Linked DNA regions of Anolis sagrei. The protein of the gene in region 1 binds, or shares a complex with, the protein of each later gene. Links are inferred from orthologs where the notes say so. Each region holds a gene or a part of one and is shown on either strand. Other genes may lie near its edges.

Region 1 (7,317 bases):
TACCTTTATCTGTTGTCTGTATTGTCATGGTATAATTGTCATTGAATGTTTGCCATATATGTGTTCTGTAATGTGCCCTGAGTCCCCTTGGGGGTGAGAAGGGTGGAATATAAATACTGGAAATAAATAAATAAAGTATAGCATTATACTTTATTAGAATGGTTTGGGACCAGCCTACCTTCGTGACCACATTTCCTTCTACGAACCTACATAATCCCTTTGATCTTCTGGAGCGGCCCTTCTCGCACCCCCACCCCCATTGTAAGTGTGACTTGTGGGGACGAGGGAGAGGGCCTTCTCTATGGTGGCTCCTCAGCTCTGGAGTTTGCTCCCCGGAGAAATGAGGCAAGCACCCATCCTGGCAGACTTCAGGAAGAGCCTAAAAACATGGCTGTTCCAGTGTGCCTTCAATGAATGAACAATAATCCCTGACCTTGACTAAACCACACATAAAAATTCCTTTGAATGCACTTTATTTCACCCTCTAGTGCAACTAAACCCCATTGTTTCATCCCACTTGAACCTCCTTCTAGATACACTACATTACTTATCTCACCTAGAGTTTTTAAACATTTTAATCTTTGCAACCGGCCTTGCCCATTGTGTTCTATTATTGTGATTTTATATTGCATTGTGTGCCTATTTTGTACTGTTTATTATTATTATTATTATTATTATTATTATTATTATATTTTATTGATGTATTATTTTATGTTGTATATTTGCTTTGTTGTGATTTTTGGGTTTGGCATTGTGTAAGCTGCCCCGAGTTCACTTGGGGAGATGGTGGTGGGGTATAAATAAAGTTTTATTATTATATTACACGCGTTACTGTGGCCAACCTTCCCTCCCTTTTTCTCTCCTCCTTTCTTTCTCTCCTTCCCTTTTTTCTTTCCTTCTCTCCTCCTTTCCTTCTCTTCCTCTTCCCTTCCTTCCCCCTTTTCTTTTCCTTCTGCTTTCTCCCCTTTCTTCCTTTTCTGCCTATTCTTGGACTGCAACACCCAGCAGTCCTCCTGATCCATCTACCTACCTATCTATATCGATTTATCTGGAGGATTGCTGGGAGTTGCAGTCCAGGAATAGGAAATGGGAAATATGCAGGGATTTGGATGCTCTCAAAGAAATCCAAGGAGAAGAAAGCTTGCCACTTAGAAGCAGTGCATTTGGATCATCCTCCTCTCCTAAAGTTCCTGGTCTAGGGGCTGCTGGGAGCTGTACTCCGGAAGAGAGTGTGGATATGCTATTGTGTGATTTGTTTGCCAGGGAGAGTCATTTTTGCACATGCTTTGTAGCATCTTTTAGCTTTTTTTTGGATTTTTAAGTCCCTTCTGCTGTGTTTTTCAGTGTTTTTATGAGTGATGGTCACTCGTTGGCCTGATAGGTGTATTGTGTCCAAATTTCCTGTCAATTCGTCCAGTGGTTTTTGAGTTATCCAGTGGTCCACACTCTTGTTACATCCCGTATAGACTACTGCAACGCACTCTATGTGGGGTTGCCCTTGAAGACTGTTCGGAAACTCCAACTGGTCCAGCGAGCAGCAGCCAGATTGCTTACCGGAGCGACATACAGGGAGCATACCACCCCCCTGCTGTGACAGCTCCACTGGCTGCCGGTTAAATTCCAAGCACAATTCTAGGTGCTGGTTATGGTTCCGGTCCAGCGTATCTGTCCGAACGTATCTCTCTCTATGTCCCACCCCGGAATTTGAGGTCATCTGGGGAGGCCCTGCTCTCGACCCCACTGCTATCACAAGTGAGGCTGGTGGGGACGAGGAGCAGGGCCTTCTCAGTGGTGGCCCCTCACCTGTGGAACTCACTCTCGGGGGAAATTAGGGCATCAACATCCCTCCTCTCCTTCAGGAGGAAGGTAAAGATGTGGTTGTGGGACCAGGCCTTCGGGCAATCTGACAATTAGACATGGACAGCCAGATGGATGGGACTGAAAGGACTGACAATTGTGGAATTGGAATTTTGAACTATGAGATTGCGAAACGCTGACCATCAATGAGGTTTGTATTGGTTTTTATTGCTTTTATTGGTTTTATGGTTGTCTCTGCCTATACTAATTACTGTTTTCTGTTAACTGTTGTTATTGCCAGAATGCTGTTTTGTTAACTGATGTTATTGTCTTTTGCTATATGTGATGCGGGCATCGAATTGTGCCTTGCTTTTGTAAGCCGCCCTGAGTCCCCCACACCACCCCCACCCCATCCCGGGGTGAGAAGGTTGGGGTAGAAGCAACCAAAATAAAATAAAATAATAATAATTATGTTAATCCCACAAACAAACACTACATTTTTATTTATATAGATTATTATTATAGTATCCATGGGGTTCTAGGACCCCAATGATCCTAACATCTATGGGTGCTCAAGCCCTGTTATATACACAGTGGAGTATTAAAATGGTATTCTTTACATAAAATGGCAAAAGCAGGCTTTACTTTTCAGATTCTTTCTGGGATTATTTGGAATGGGTAGATCAGGCCTGGGCAAACTTGGGCCCTCCAGGTGTTTTGGACTTCAACTCCCACCATTCCTAACAGCCTCAGGCCCTTTCCTTTCAGCTTAAGCGGCTGAGGGGGAAAAGGAAGGGGCCTGAGGCTGTTAGGAATGGTGGGAGTTGAAGTCCAAAACACCTGGAGAGCCCAAGTTGCTCAAGCCTGGGGTAGATAGATGCAGAATCCATGGATAGGGAGGCCAAAGGTAGCCTCAAACCTACTAAGGTAAAGCTGAATGCAGAAAGAGAAAGGTGTGGAACCGAAGAGCAAACCAAGGTGGTCCTTGTCTTGGACCAGATCAAGCACTTTGGGATTTAGTGCATGGCTGGGCTGCATCTCAGTGGTGGGAAGCTCTGAGTAGGTCATAAGCACCCTGCCCAGCCAAGGCCATTGCTCTGGCCATCTTCCATGCCAACTCGGCCTGAGAGTCCAGCTGCTATTGCTGATAAACCATCACAGAAGCTTATTCAGCGTTGCTTTTTTCCTATTTTTTCCCCCCTTGGCCTCGCAGATTTCACCAGGAAAGGAGGGGAGGGAGATACAATGGCTGGCGCTGCAGATTAGACTCCCCCTCTCCTCCCCTCCCCTTCCCTCCCTCCCTCCCTCCTCCCGAGACCTCGCTGGGCTTTGACGTCACGTGGGCTCCTTCCCCGTTGCCATGGCAGCGCCATTCCCCAAGCCGGCTCCCCCCCCCCTTCCTTTTCCCCACAATGGTCCAGCCGGCAGCATCAGGAGCATCCTCTCCAGCGCCGCCACCAAGCGAGGCCCAATGGTCTCCAGATTGTAAAAGAGGGTGATTCAGCAGGACACCTTCCCTTCCTTCCTTCCAGCCGTCCCTCCTGCTTCTTTCTCCTCCTCTTCCTCTTCTCTTTCTCCATCTCTCCCTTTCTTTCTGTGACTGATATTACGCACCAGTTTGAAGTCCATTGCTTCGTTTGCCTCCATCTCCAAAAAGAATAAGCTTTGGCACCAAATCCCTCCTTCACTTGCAAACCCCCCTCTCCCCACACACATCCCTTCCTATAGTTGACCATCACCAGATTCCCTATACACTCCCCTTTCTCCTTTCGTCGTTATACCTCTCCTCTCTCTTTGCAGATTCTTTTTCTCCCCTCTCTCTAATTTCCCCTCTCTCCTTTCCATCACCTGTTCGTCTCTCTCTCTCTCAATCTCCCTCTCTCCTTTCCATCTCCTGTTTTCCTCTCTCTCACTTAAAACCCTTTCTCCCCACATCAGACTCCCTATACACCCCTTTTTCTCCTTTCGCCTTTATCTGTACCTCTCTCTCTGCAGATCCCCATTTCTCCCCCCTCTCTTTCCTTTCTATCCCCTTTTCTCCCCTCTCTCAGTCCCCTTCTCTCCTTTCCATCTCCTGTTCTCCATTCTCTCTAAACCCTCCTCTTTCCTTCCTATCCCCTGCTCTCCTCTCTCTCAATCCTCCTCTCTCCTGTTCTCCTCTCTCTCACTTACAACCCCCTCCCCCCCCCACACACACACCTTCCTATAGTTGACCATCACCATACACCCCCTTTTCTCCTTTCGCCTTTCTCTCTATCTCTCTCTCAACAGATCCCCTTTTCTTCCCCCTCTCTCTCAATAGGGGGGTCATTTCCATCCCTGTTCTGCCCTGTCTCTCAATCCCCCCCTCTTCTTTCTATCCCCTTTCCTCCATTCTCTCTCAATCCCCCTCTCCTTTCCATCTCCTGTTCTCCATTCTCTTTAAATCCTCCTCTTTCCTTTCCATCCCCTTTTCTCCTCTCTCTCTCTCAATCCCCCTCTCTCCTTTCCACCTCCTGTTCTCTCTCTCACTTACAACCCCCTCTCCTCCCCAATACATATACCTTCCTATAGTTGACCATCACCAGACTCCCTATACACCTCCTTTTCTCCTTTCGCCTTTCTCTATACCTCTCTCTACAGACCCCCATTTCTCCCCTCTCTAATTCCCCCTCTCTCCTTTCCATCCCCTGTTCTTCCCTGTCTCTCAATCCTCCTCTCTCCTTTCCATCTCCTGTTCTCCATTCTCTAAATCCTCCTCTTTCCTTTTCTCCTCTCTCTCTCTCTCTCAATCCCCCTCTCTCCTTTCCATCCCCTTCTTCCAGCCCTCCAAGCTACCCATTTCCCTTCTCTCCCTCCCCAGTAAGAATGGGGCGCTTTCCAGAGACCCCTTGACGTCGCCACAAGGAGGGCCAAACCAAGACCCCGGCAAGAGGCGGGTCTGGAGCGCAGGCACTGGAATGGTAGGTGGTGGATGTGGGAAGAGATGGGGAAGGGGGGGGGGGCTGCTGGGGCTTTGAGACCCCCCTCCTTTCCCTTCCCTTCGTCTTTGTGAGAGGAGGCGGGCTGATGAATATTGATTGCTGTTAAAAATAATCGAGGGGAGGGGGAGGAGGGAGAGCGCGCGCGTGCGTGAGTGGAGGAGGGAGAGAGAGAGAAAGAGAGAGATAGAGAGAGAGAGGCAGGTTAATGAAGTAAACTGCTAAGAGAAGCAGCAGGGAGGCGAGAGCTGGACCGCAGGCCACCGGGAAGGCAGCATCCTTTTGGGCCGGTGTCGGGGTTAGTAGCCGCGGCTTGTTTGCATCTCTCTTTTGGGTCGGGTTTGGGATGCGATAGGATCTGCATTGGCTTCCCGGAGGAGGGTGGAGGGGGATGTAAACACAGGGCTCCTTCTGCTGTATCTTGTGCTTCTCTCTGTGCGCGCCCCCCTCCCTCTCCTGTCCTTTGAAAAGGAACCATGACTCTCATTATTTCATGTTTATTTGTTTTTCAATCGGGGAAGCATGGGCCAAGGGATGGGATCTGTTTGCAAGGGGGGGTTGGGTTGTGGATCACATCATAACAAAGATGGCAAGGTAACCATAATAATTAAGGTATTGTCGCTTTCATGGCTGGAATCACTGGGTTGTTTTCTGTCTTTTGGGCTGTATCCCTTCTTAGTATTATCTTAGTAAATGTCTTAGTATTATCTTAGTAATTATTATTTTAGTAATTGTAACAATTATCTTAGTAACAATTATCTTAGTAATTGTTGAAGGCTTGCATGGCTGGAATCACAGGGTTGTTTTCAGTTTTCCAGGCTGTATGGCCATGTTCCAGAAGCATCTTCTCCTGACATTTCACCTGCATCTATGACAGGCATCCTCAGAGGTTGTGAGACCTCACAACCTCCAAGGATGCCTGTCATAGATGCAGGCAAAACGTCAGAAGAGAATGCTTCTGGAACATGGTCATACAGCCTGGAAAACACACAACAAAACATAATAATTAATGTTTTTCTCTCTAAAAAAATCACTTTTCCTTCCCTGATTCTCATACCTTATTCTCTGTTTCCTCTACTCTCTCCCTCTTGAAAAGGAATCCAAAGTGTATCTCCCTCCAAAACTCTCTTGGTGGGATATTTCTCCCTCCCTGCATGAGATAAAGGTGAGGGTCCAGAGGTGAAAACAAGGGGATGGAAAATCCAAGTGGTTTTATTTTTGTCACCAGGAAGTCCTTTCTGAACATAAACATCCCACTGGCTTGCATAACAATTCTATGTACGCAAAGTGGATAAGAGATCCATCTTTCTTTTGAAGGTAGACCTAAAATTTAGGACAAGCATGAAGTGGGGGCGGGTGAGTGGGTGGGTAGCCGGTTGTGCCATGTAAAGGGACATTCTCCAATTGCATCTAAAGACTGCAGCAAAAGCAATGGAGCTTTTACCGGAATAGCCTTTTCGACAGCCCCGGCTTTTACAATTTGTTCGGATAGCATTTTTCTCCTTTCTGCAATGCGGGCCCTGTTAAAAGATACAAAGAGTTTGCATGGCTGTCTCTTGGAGGTCATAATTCAGTGGATCGGTCTAATGAGAGGGTTTGCATTTGTGTGCATGCTTTATTATTTTTTTATTATTTTCTTATCCTCAGTGGCCATAGGCTTGTTTACATGGGTGCCTTTTGCTGCAGAGCCTCACCGTTGCTTCTCCAATGCAGTTTTCCCATCTTCTCATCCGGCTCTCTGGGTGATTTCTTTTTCTGGTGTCTTGCAAAAAAGATGGCTCATCCATGCATGCATACACAGAACCTGGTCTCTTCTGTTTTGGTTTTTTCCTCCTCAAGGAGAGGAAAATGAAGATGGCCAAGGAAAGAAATAAAAGGGGTGGATGATAACATCGCTGTTTTGATTATACGGGTCTGCTGATCTTCTCATGCAAGGCCAATAAAGATGGGGGCATGAGAGAGAGAGAGAGAGAGAGAGAGAGAGAGAGAGAGAACTGCTGACAGGGAAGATAGACAGTGATTGTGTTGAGCTGAACCACATGCAAGCAGGCTTGCTTCCAATGACAGGAGAATGAAGAAGGAAGGAAATGATTTTAGGGCACGTTGGAAGCAGTTGGAGACGGAAGAATCCATGGTGTGTGTTCGAGTTTGACAGTTCTTTCCCTCCATAGGGCTCCTTCCCCTTGTTGTATTTCCAGTTTTGCCCCATCAGGTACCATCCATAGAGCTGCTGGATTAAAATTTCAAAACAAAGGAATGCAAAGGAGAGCTGCTGATGTGAAGCGAGGGGCTGTCCCCTTAGGATAAGACGTGCCAATAATAAAGCAGGACACATCTGACAACCCTAAATTATACTTGCTCATTTTTTTCTGGTGTAGAGTGCTTGGTTGTTCTCGTCCTCCCCCAACCCCCTCCCACCGTTATTGTTAAATGAATGACAGAGGTGGTGTGATATGAGCTATTCAATCAAAAGCCGGCCCCCTTCCCTCCCCTTTTCCCAGATGGACTCTTATTCTACCTCACCATTTCAGAGCATGTAATATTTTTGCAAATGTCCTGT
Region 2 (7,222 bases), on another chromosome or scaffold:
AGCCGTTCCTGTTTCTCAATAGCAGTTCAGTGGGTAGTTTTGAAATGCATGAGCTTGTCACAACAAACTGCGTAGCCACATCCTCAAAGAATGGCCAGAAAATACAGGCAGGTGTGTTGATCAACAACTTCGTTTTGGCAGTTTATCCCAACCTAAAGGAAGTCTTTTAAAAAGTTAAAGGGTCCTAATGGTTCTTTTAAGACCAAGCCTCGTCAAAATACTCTGCAATGGGATTTGACCATTTGATTATTGGGTTGCTGTGAGTTTTCTGGGCTGCATGGCTATGTTCCAGAAGCACTCTCCTGATGTTTTGCCTTCACCTTTGGCAGGCATCCTCAGAGGTTGTGAGGTTTGTTGGAAACAAGGCAAGTGGGGTTTATATATTTGTGGAATGTCCAGGCTGGGAGAAAGGACTCTTGTCTGTTGGAGGCAAGTGTGGATGTTGCAGTTGGCCACCTTGATTAGCACTGAAAAACTTAGCAGCTTCAAACTTGGCTGCTTCCTGCCTGGGGGAATCCTTTGTTGGAATGCTTCTGGAATACGCCATACAGCCCAGAAAAATCACAGCGACCCAGTGATTCCAGCCATGAAAGCCTTCGACAACGCAAACACTACAGAGATGTTAACCCTTCCCTAGGCTATCCAAAGCTCTCTCTCTCTCTCTCTCTCTCTCTCTCTCTCTCTCTATATATATATATATATATGTCTGGAGTTACACTTAAAATGTACCTGTTCCCACTTACAAATTCAACTTAAAACAAACATATAGAACCTATCTGATTTGTAACTTAGGGACTGTGTGTACATTTGTTTTTACATAGTGGTTGGAGCTCTGTGGTTTTTACCCCATTTGGATCCCCAGATGTTATTGAACGACAACTCCCTCTTTTTATTGTATTCTGAAAAGTCTTTATATATATATATATATATATATATATATATATATATATATAAAATAACCTTAAAAAAACCCAGTTTCTGAAGTATAGCAACTACTTTCAAAACAATTACCCAACAATTAAACAGGAAATAAAATTTTCAAACCAGGAATAGATTTTTTCCCTCCAGATTTTGTTAGATAGTGTTATCTGCTATGAGGACTGGGGATAATGGGAATTGCAACGTATTAAAATAGGCCTGACTAAAACTATACTATGCCCCTGTGTTTCAGAGGTGGGGGAAATTTCTAAGGGATTTTAAAACCAGACATCATCCCACAAGCCTTTTATCTCATTCCAAACCCCACACTCCTGATTAAACAGAGCAAACTGTTTCATCTGACCAAAATGTACTATATCACAACTTCCAGCTTTGGTTATAATGTCTAATTTATGAAGAAAACAGGACTTGTTGTTGTCGTCCAGCATCGGGAGAGAGCCACATAAAAAGACAGAACAAAGCCAGGGCCTCCTTAATAATAATAATAATAATAATAATAATAATAATAATAATAGCGAACTGCAAAGACCCTGGCACAAACCAGTAAAGGTGGTCCCAGTGGTGATTGGCACACTGGGTGCAGTGCCTAAAGACCTTGGCCTGCACTTAAACACAATTGGCACTGACAAGATTACCATCTGCTAGCTGCAAAAGGCCACCCTGCTGGGATCTGCATGCATTATTCACCAATACATCACACAATCTTTCCATCTTGCTCTTCCTTTTTCCTTCCATTTTCCCCAGTATCATTGTCTTCTCTAAGCTTTCCTGTCTTCTCATGATGTGGCCAAAGCACTTCATCTTGGCCTCTACTATCCTTCCCTCCAATGAGCAGTCGGGCTTTATTTCCTGAAGTATGGACTGGTTGGATCTTCTCACGGTCCAAGGCACTCTCAGAACTTTTCTCCAACACCACAGTTCAATTTTTTCTTCGCTCAGCCTTCCTTATGGTCCAGCTCTCACATCCATAGGTTACTACGGGGAATACCATTGCTTTAACTATGTGGCTCATAATAATAATAATAATAATAATAATAATAATAATAATAATAACTGCAAAGACTCTGGAACAAGCCAGTAAATGTGGTCCCAGTGGTAATTGGCACATTGGGTGCAGTGCCTAAAGACTTTGGCCTGCATTTAAACACAACCGGCGCTGACAAAATTACCATCTGCCAGCTGCAAAAGGCCACCTTACTGGGATCTGCACACATTATTCGCCGATACATCACACAGTCCTAGATACTTGGGAAGTGTCCGACGTGTGATCCAATATAAAAGCCAGCAGAGTGATCTTGTTTGCTGTGGACTCATCTTGTTGTTTTTCTAATAATAATAATAATAATAATAATAATAATAATAATAATTTTTAAAAAAGATTTTAACGATATATTTTAATTGAAATAACTTGGAATAAAAAGAATGAGCTTTGGCAATAATGACATTCAAAATTTTTTCCCCACCCATGATAAATTACATTTTTGCTATGTAGTCAATTTGTTATGCATCTCCTTAATCAGTAGGTTTTTAAAAACATATTTTCTTATGTTATAAACACAAATCAATAAGCTAAATTTCAAGTGTTACACATATAAATCCTGAGTAATTCAACAAATATTAAAGACATTATGCTAATTTACACTGGTGTAGATTACATTATCCCCACCTTCCCTCCTCAACCACAGTATATTTCTACTAATCTTGCAGATCCAGCCACTTGTAGAGTCTTTGTATTTTTTCTTTGATGTGATCGTTGGCTCTTCCATTTTTCACCCAGTTGAAGCAGACCTTCCATCTGTTTATAATTATCTTTTCTTCATCCATTCTTGGTGCTTGGTTAGTCATAATTCCCGTAATATCTAACAACACTCGGTCATACATATAATCATTCCAATTACTTAACGTCCATTTCCATTTGTCTTTCCATCCTCTAGCAATAATAATAATAATAATAATAATAATAATAATAATAATAATATATTTTGAACCTGCCCTCTCTCCCCGAAGGGATGCAGGGCAGCTTCCAATACAAAGACAAATATTCAATGCCATATACCAGTGTTTCTCAACCTGGCTGGGACCCTTGGGGGGGGGGGGGGATTGTGAGAGGATGTCAGAGAGGTCACCAAAGTCCATCAGAAAACACAATATTGTCTGTTGTTCTGTGTGGGAAGTTTGGCCCAATTCTATCATTGGTGGAGTGACCCCTTAATACAATTCCGCATGTTGTGCTGACCCCCAACCATAAAATTATTTTTGTTGCTACTTCATAACTGTCATTTTGCTACTGTTATGAATCATAATGTAAATATCTGATATGCAGGATGTATTTTCATTCACTGGACTGATATGCCCAAATTTGAATACTGGTGGGGTTGGGGGGGCGGGGTTGATTTTGCCATTTGGAAGTTGTAGTTGCTGGGATTTATAGTTCACCTACAATCAAAGAGCATTCTGAACTTCACCAACGATTGAATTGGGCCAAACTTGGCACACAGAACTGCCATGACCAACAGAAAATACTGGAGGGGTTTGGGTGGACATTGACCTTGAGTTTTGGAGTTGTAGTTTGCCTACATCCAGAGACCATTATGGACTCAAACAATGATGGATCTGGACTAAACTTGGCATGAATACTCAATATGTCCAAATGTGAACACTGGTGGAGTCTGGGGAAAATAGTCCTTGACATTTTGGGAGTTGCAGTTGCTGGGATTTATAGTTCACCTACAATCAAAGAGCATTCTGAACCCCACCAATGATAGAATTGGGCCAAACTTCCCACATAGAATCCCCATGACCAACAGAAAATACTGCGTTTTCTGATGGTCCTTAGTGACCCCTCTGACACTCCCTCGTGACCCCTCCAGCGGTCCCGACCCCCAGGTTGTGAACCACTGTTCTAGAGCCTCTTAGATTGTAGACAAACTACAAACCACAGCAACTACAACTCCTAAATGTCAAGGTCGATTTTCCCCAAACTCCACCAGTGTTCACGTTTGGGCATTGCCACAAACAGTCATAAAAACACTGCACAATAAAATTCCCTCGGCAGCAGGTGGAGCAGGCGACAGAAAGAGCAGCCGCAGCCCAAGAGTGAGGCTCAGTTCCTCCGCCTTCCTTCCTTCCTTCCTTAGCGGCACCTAGCGGCGAGGAGCGGGAAGCATAAGCAGCGCCGCAAAGGAGAGACAGAAGGGGAAAGGAGAGGCAGGCAGAGCGTGGCAGAGCGCTTGTTCTGCCGAAGGAGCGGATTTGGGGGGAGAAAGACCCTCTTCCCCCCCCCCCTTCCTCGCCCTTCCTCGCCAGAAAGACCCCTCTTGCGACCGACATGGAGCCTGCTGCCAGGAAGAACAAGGCGGAGGAGGGCGAGCAGCCACAGCAGCAGCCGCAGGAAAAGGAGGAGGAGGAAGAAGTGGACCCCCGGATCCAGGTAAAGGGGAGCGGGAAGGGGCTGCAGAGGACCCCTGAAGGAGACCCTTCCCCAATGGCTGCTTGCTGGGTGTGTTTTTGCGGCAGTGTCAGCGTTTGGATGAGCCTCCCCTTTCTTCTCCCCTTGCAGCCGCGTGCCAGTCCAGCCCAGTCTCTTGCCTTGGGGGCGTCTCCCTTCTCCCCCATTCTCTCTCTTTCTGGGGTTCGGGAAAGGAAGCCCCTCCAGGTATTTTGGACTTCCAACGGATGTTAGGAATGGTGGGAGTCCTGGAGGGCCCAGGTTTGCCCAGGCCTGGTGTAGATCCACTTAAGGTGCTTAGGCGTTAATAGGCAGCAAGCCTCATCACCAATGCCTCTTCCTTCTATCTCTCTATCTCTATCTAAAAATGTAATGTTCCTTTGTGGGGTTAACATAACTCCAAAACCACTGGACAAATTGCCACCAAATTTGGACAAAATATACCCACTACCCCTAGGAGTGACCATCACTCAAAACAATGGATTTTGTCATTTGGGATTTGTAGTTGCTGGGATTTACAGTTCACCTAAAATCAAAGAGCATTCTGAACTCCACCAATGATGGAATTGAACCAAGGACTCCCAAAACCAACAAAAAATTCTGGAAGGGTTTGGTGGGCATTGACCTTGAGTTTGGGAATTGTAGTTCACCTACATCGAAATGTAATGTTAGTTTGTGGGATTAACATAACTTCAAAACCACTGGACGAATTTACACCCAATTTGGACAGAATACGCCTAACAACCCAATGAGTGACCATCACTCAAAGACTCCCAAAATCAACAAAAAATTCTGGAAGAGTTTGGTGGGCATTGACCTTGAGTTTGGGAATTGTAGTTCACCTACAGCCAAATGTAATGTTAGTTTGTGGGATTGACATAACTCCAAAACCACTGGACGAATTTACACCAAATTTGGACAGAATACGCCTAACAACCCAATGAGTGGCCATCACTCAAAAAAAAAAAGATTTTATCATTTGGGAGTTGTAGTGACTGGGATTTATAGTACACCTACAATCAAAGAGCATTCTGAACACCCCCAATGATGGAATTGAACCAAACTTGGCACATAGGACTCCCAAAATCAACAAAAAAATCTGGAAGGGTTTGGTTGGCATTGACCTTGAGTTTGGAAGTTGTAGTTCATCTACATCCAGAGAGCACTGTGGACTCAAACAATGATGGATCTGGACTAAACTTGGCACAAATACTCCATATGCCCAAATATAAACACAGATGGAGTTCGGGGAAAATAGATCTTGACATTTGGGAGTTGTAGTTGCTGGGATTTATAGTTCACCTACAATCAAAGAGCATTCTGAACCCCACCAACAATTGAATGGGGCCAAACTTCCCACACAAACCCCCCAAGACCAACAGAAAATACTGTGTTTTCTGGTGGTCTTTGGTGACCCTTCTGACACCCCCTTGGGACCCCCCCCCCCAGAGGTCCCAACCCCCAGGCCTTAAGGCCATCCAGTCCAACTCCCTTCACCAGGGCAAGAAAACATATTAAAAGCCCTCCTGACAAAGAGCCATCCAGCCATATATAGATAAATAATATAGATAGATAGATAATTCACACACACACACTCATATGTATATGACAGATATAGTGTCATAGATTTGAAAGGGACTCCTAAAGAAGGACAACAGTATGTTCCAGAGTAGGCAAACTAGACAATCTCTACATCAACACTGACAAAGAAACAACAAGAAATACTGTTTATCCACAAGCAGAAAGAAATTACATATATTAGAAACCAACACTTTCTCATTACTTTATTTTCCAGATCACTAGACTGGGCCACAGCAACATGTGGCAGGGGACAGCTAGTCTATAAATAAAAATGTAATGTTCGTTTGTGGGATTAACATAACTCAAATACCACTGGATGAATTGACACCAAATTTGGATATAATACACCTATCAGGCCAAAGAATAACCATCACTCATAAAAACATTGAAAATCAGAACGTAAGGGACATAAAATCAAAAAAATAAAAACTACATAATAATAATAATAATAATAATAATAATACTTTATTTGTACCCCGCTATCATTTCCCCAAGGGGCTTGGTGCGGCTTACATTAGGCCAAGCCCACAATACATTACAACGCATGCACAGAACCACACACACACATATATATGCAAACACACATGTATACACATATATACAAATATATATACACACACAAAACACATATACATAGACATGGCCACAGCAATGCATGGCAGGGGACGTCTAGTAGCAGTATAAAATGTCACCACAACAGCTTGTCACAATGCTTGAAATCTGCAGCCTGAAGCAGCCGCCTCACCTGGGTCGGCTGCCCTACAAAGTGGACTTTTGTTGGAAATGGAAATAACAGGAAAGGTTAGAGTAGGACAAAAGAGATGCCACGTCTATAAGGTGCACTACAAGAACATTTGAAGGTGGCGCATGTATTTGTGAATGCGTATCCAGAAGAGACATGCATTGTCTTGCATCCAAAGTAGATATACACTTGGGAACAGGTGTAGTGAAAGCTCAGGAGCATCACAAGTGATGAAATGCATGTAATGACTTAACAACTATTTATTAATTTATTTATGGCATTTATAAACCTGCAGTTTCTCACCCCAAAGGGACTCAGAGCAGCTTATGATATATATATATATATATATATACACACACACACACACACACACACACACACACACATACAACATATTATATTATTAGCATAGAAAAAAAGCATTCTGGAGGAAGCAGTGAATAGAAAGATATAAATGTGTTTTTGCTAGAACCAGCTTGATAACAAAAAAGCAAAGTTTGAAATGCAGTTGT

Evidence for each region.
Region 2: the proteins of MAPK10 (region 1) and SH3BP5 are in contact, whole or in part, in a crystal structure (PDB 4H3B), measured with the Homo sapiens proteins. The link is inferred for Anolis sagrei from reciprocal best matches to the Homo sapiens genes MAPK10 and SH3BP5. Residues at the interface, in NP_620448.1 of Homo sapiens: Lys121, Asp150, Ala151, Gln155, Val156, Met159, Leu161, Glu164, Arg165, Tyr168, Tyr171, Val197, Lys198, Ser199, Asp200, Cys201, Trp362, Asp364, Glu367; in NP_004835.2 of Homo sapiens: Val341, Val342, Arg343, Pro344, Gly345, Ser346, Leu347, Asp348, Leu349, Pro350.

What each region holds. Positions count from the first base shown.
Region 1 is NC_090025.1:19,260,922-19,268,238, reverse strand, and holds the start of MAPK10 (mitogen-activated protein kinase 10), read left to right. Parts: upstream 1-4,049; 5' UTR 4,050-4,739; intron 4,740-4,903; exon of another isoform or gene 4,904-5,055; intron 5,056-7,317. UniProt on the Homo sapiens protein: Serine/threonine-protein kinase involved in various processes such as neuronal proliferation, differentiation, migration and programmed cell death.
Region 2 is NC_090026.1:80,094,175-80,101,396, reverse strand, and holds the start of SH3BP5 (SH3 domain-binding protein 5), read left to right. Parts: upstream 1-4,090; 5' UTR 4,091-4,267; coding exon 4,268-4,369; intron 4,370-7,222. UniProt on the Homo sapiens protein: Functions as a guanine nucleotide exchange factor (GEF) with specificity for RAB11A and RAB25. Inhibits the auto- and transphosphorylation activity of BTK. Plays a negative regulatory role in BTK-related cytoplasmic signaling in B-cells.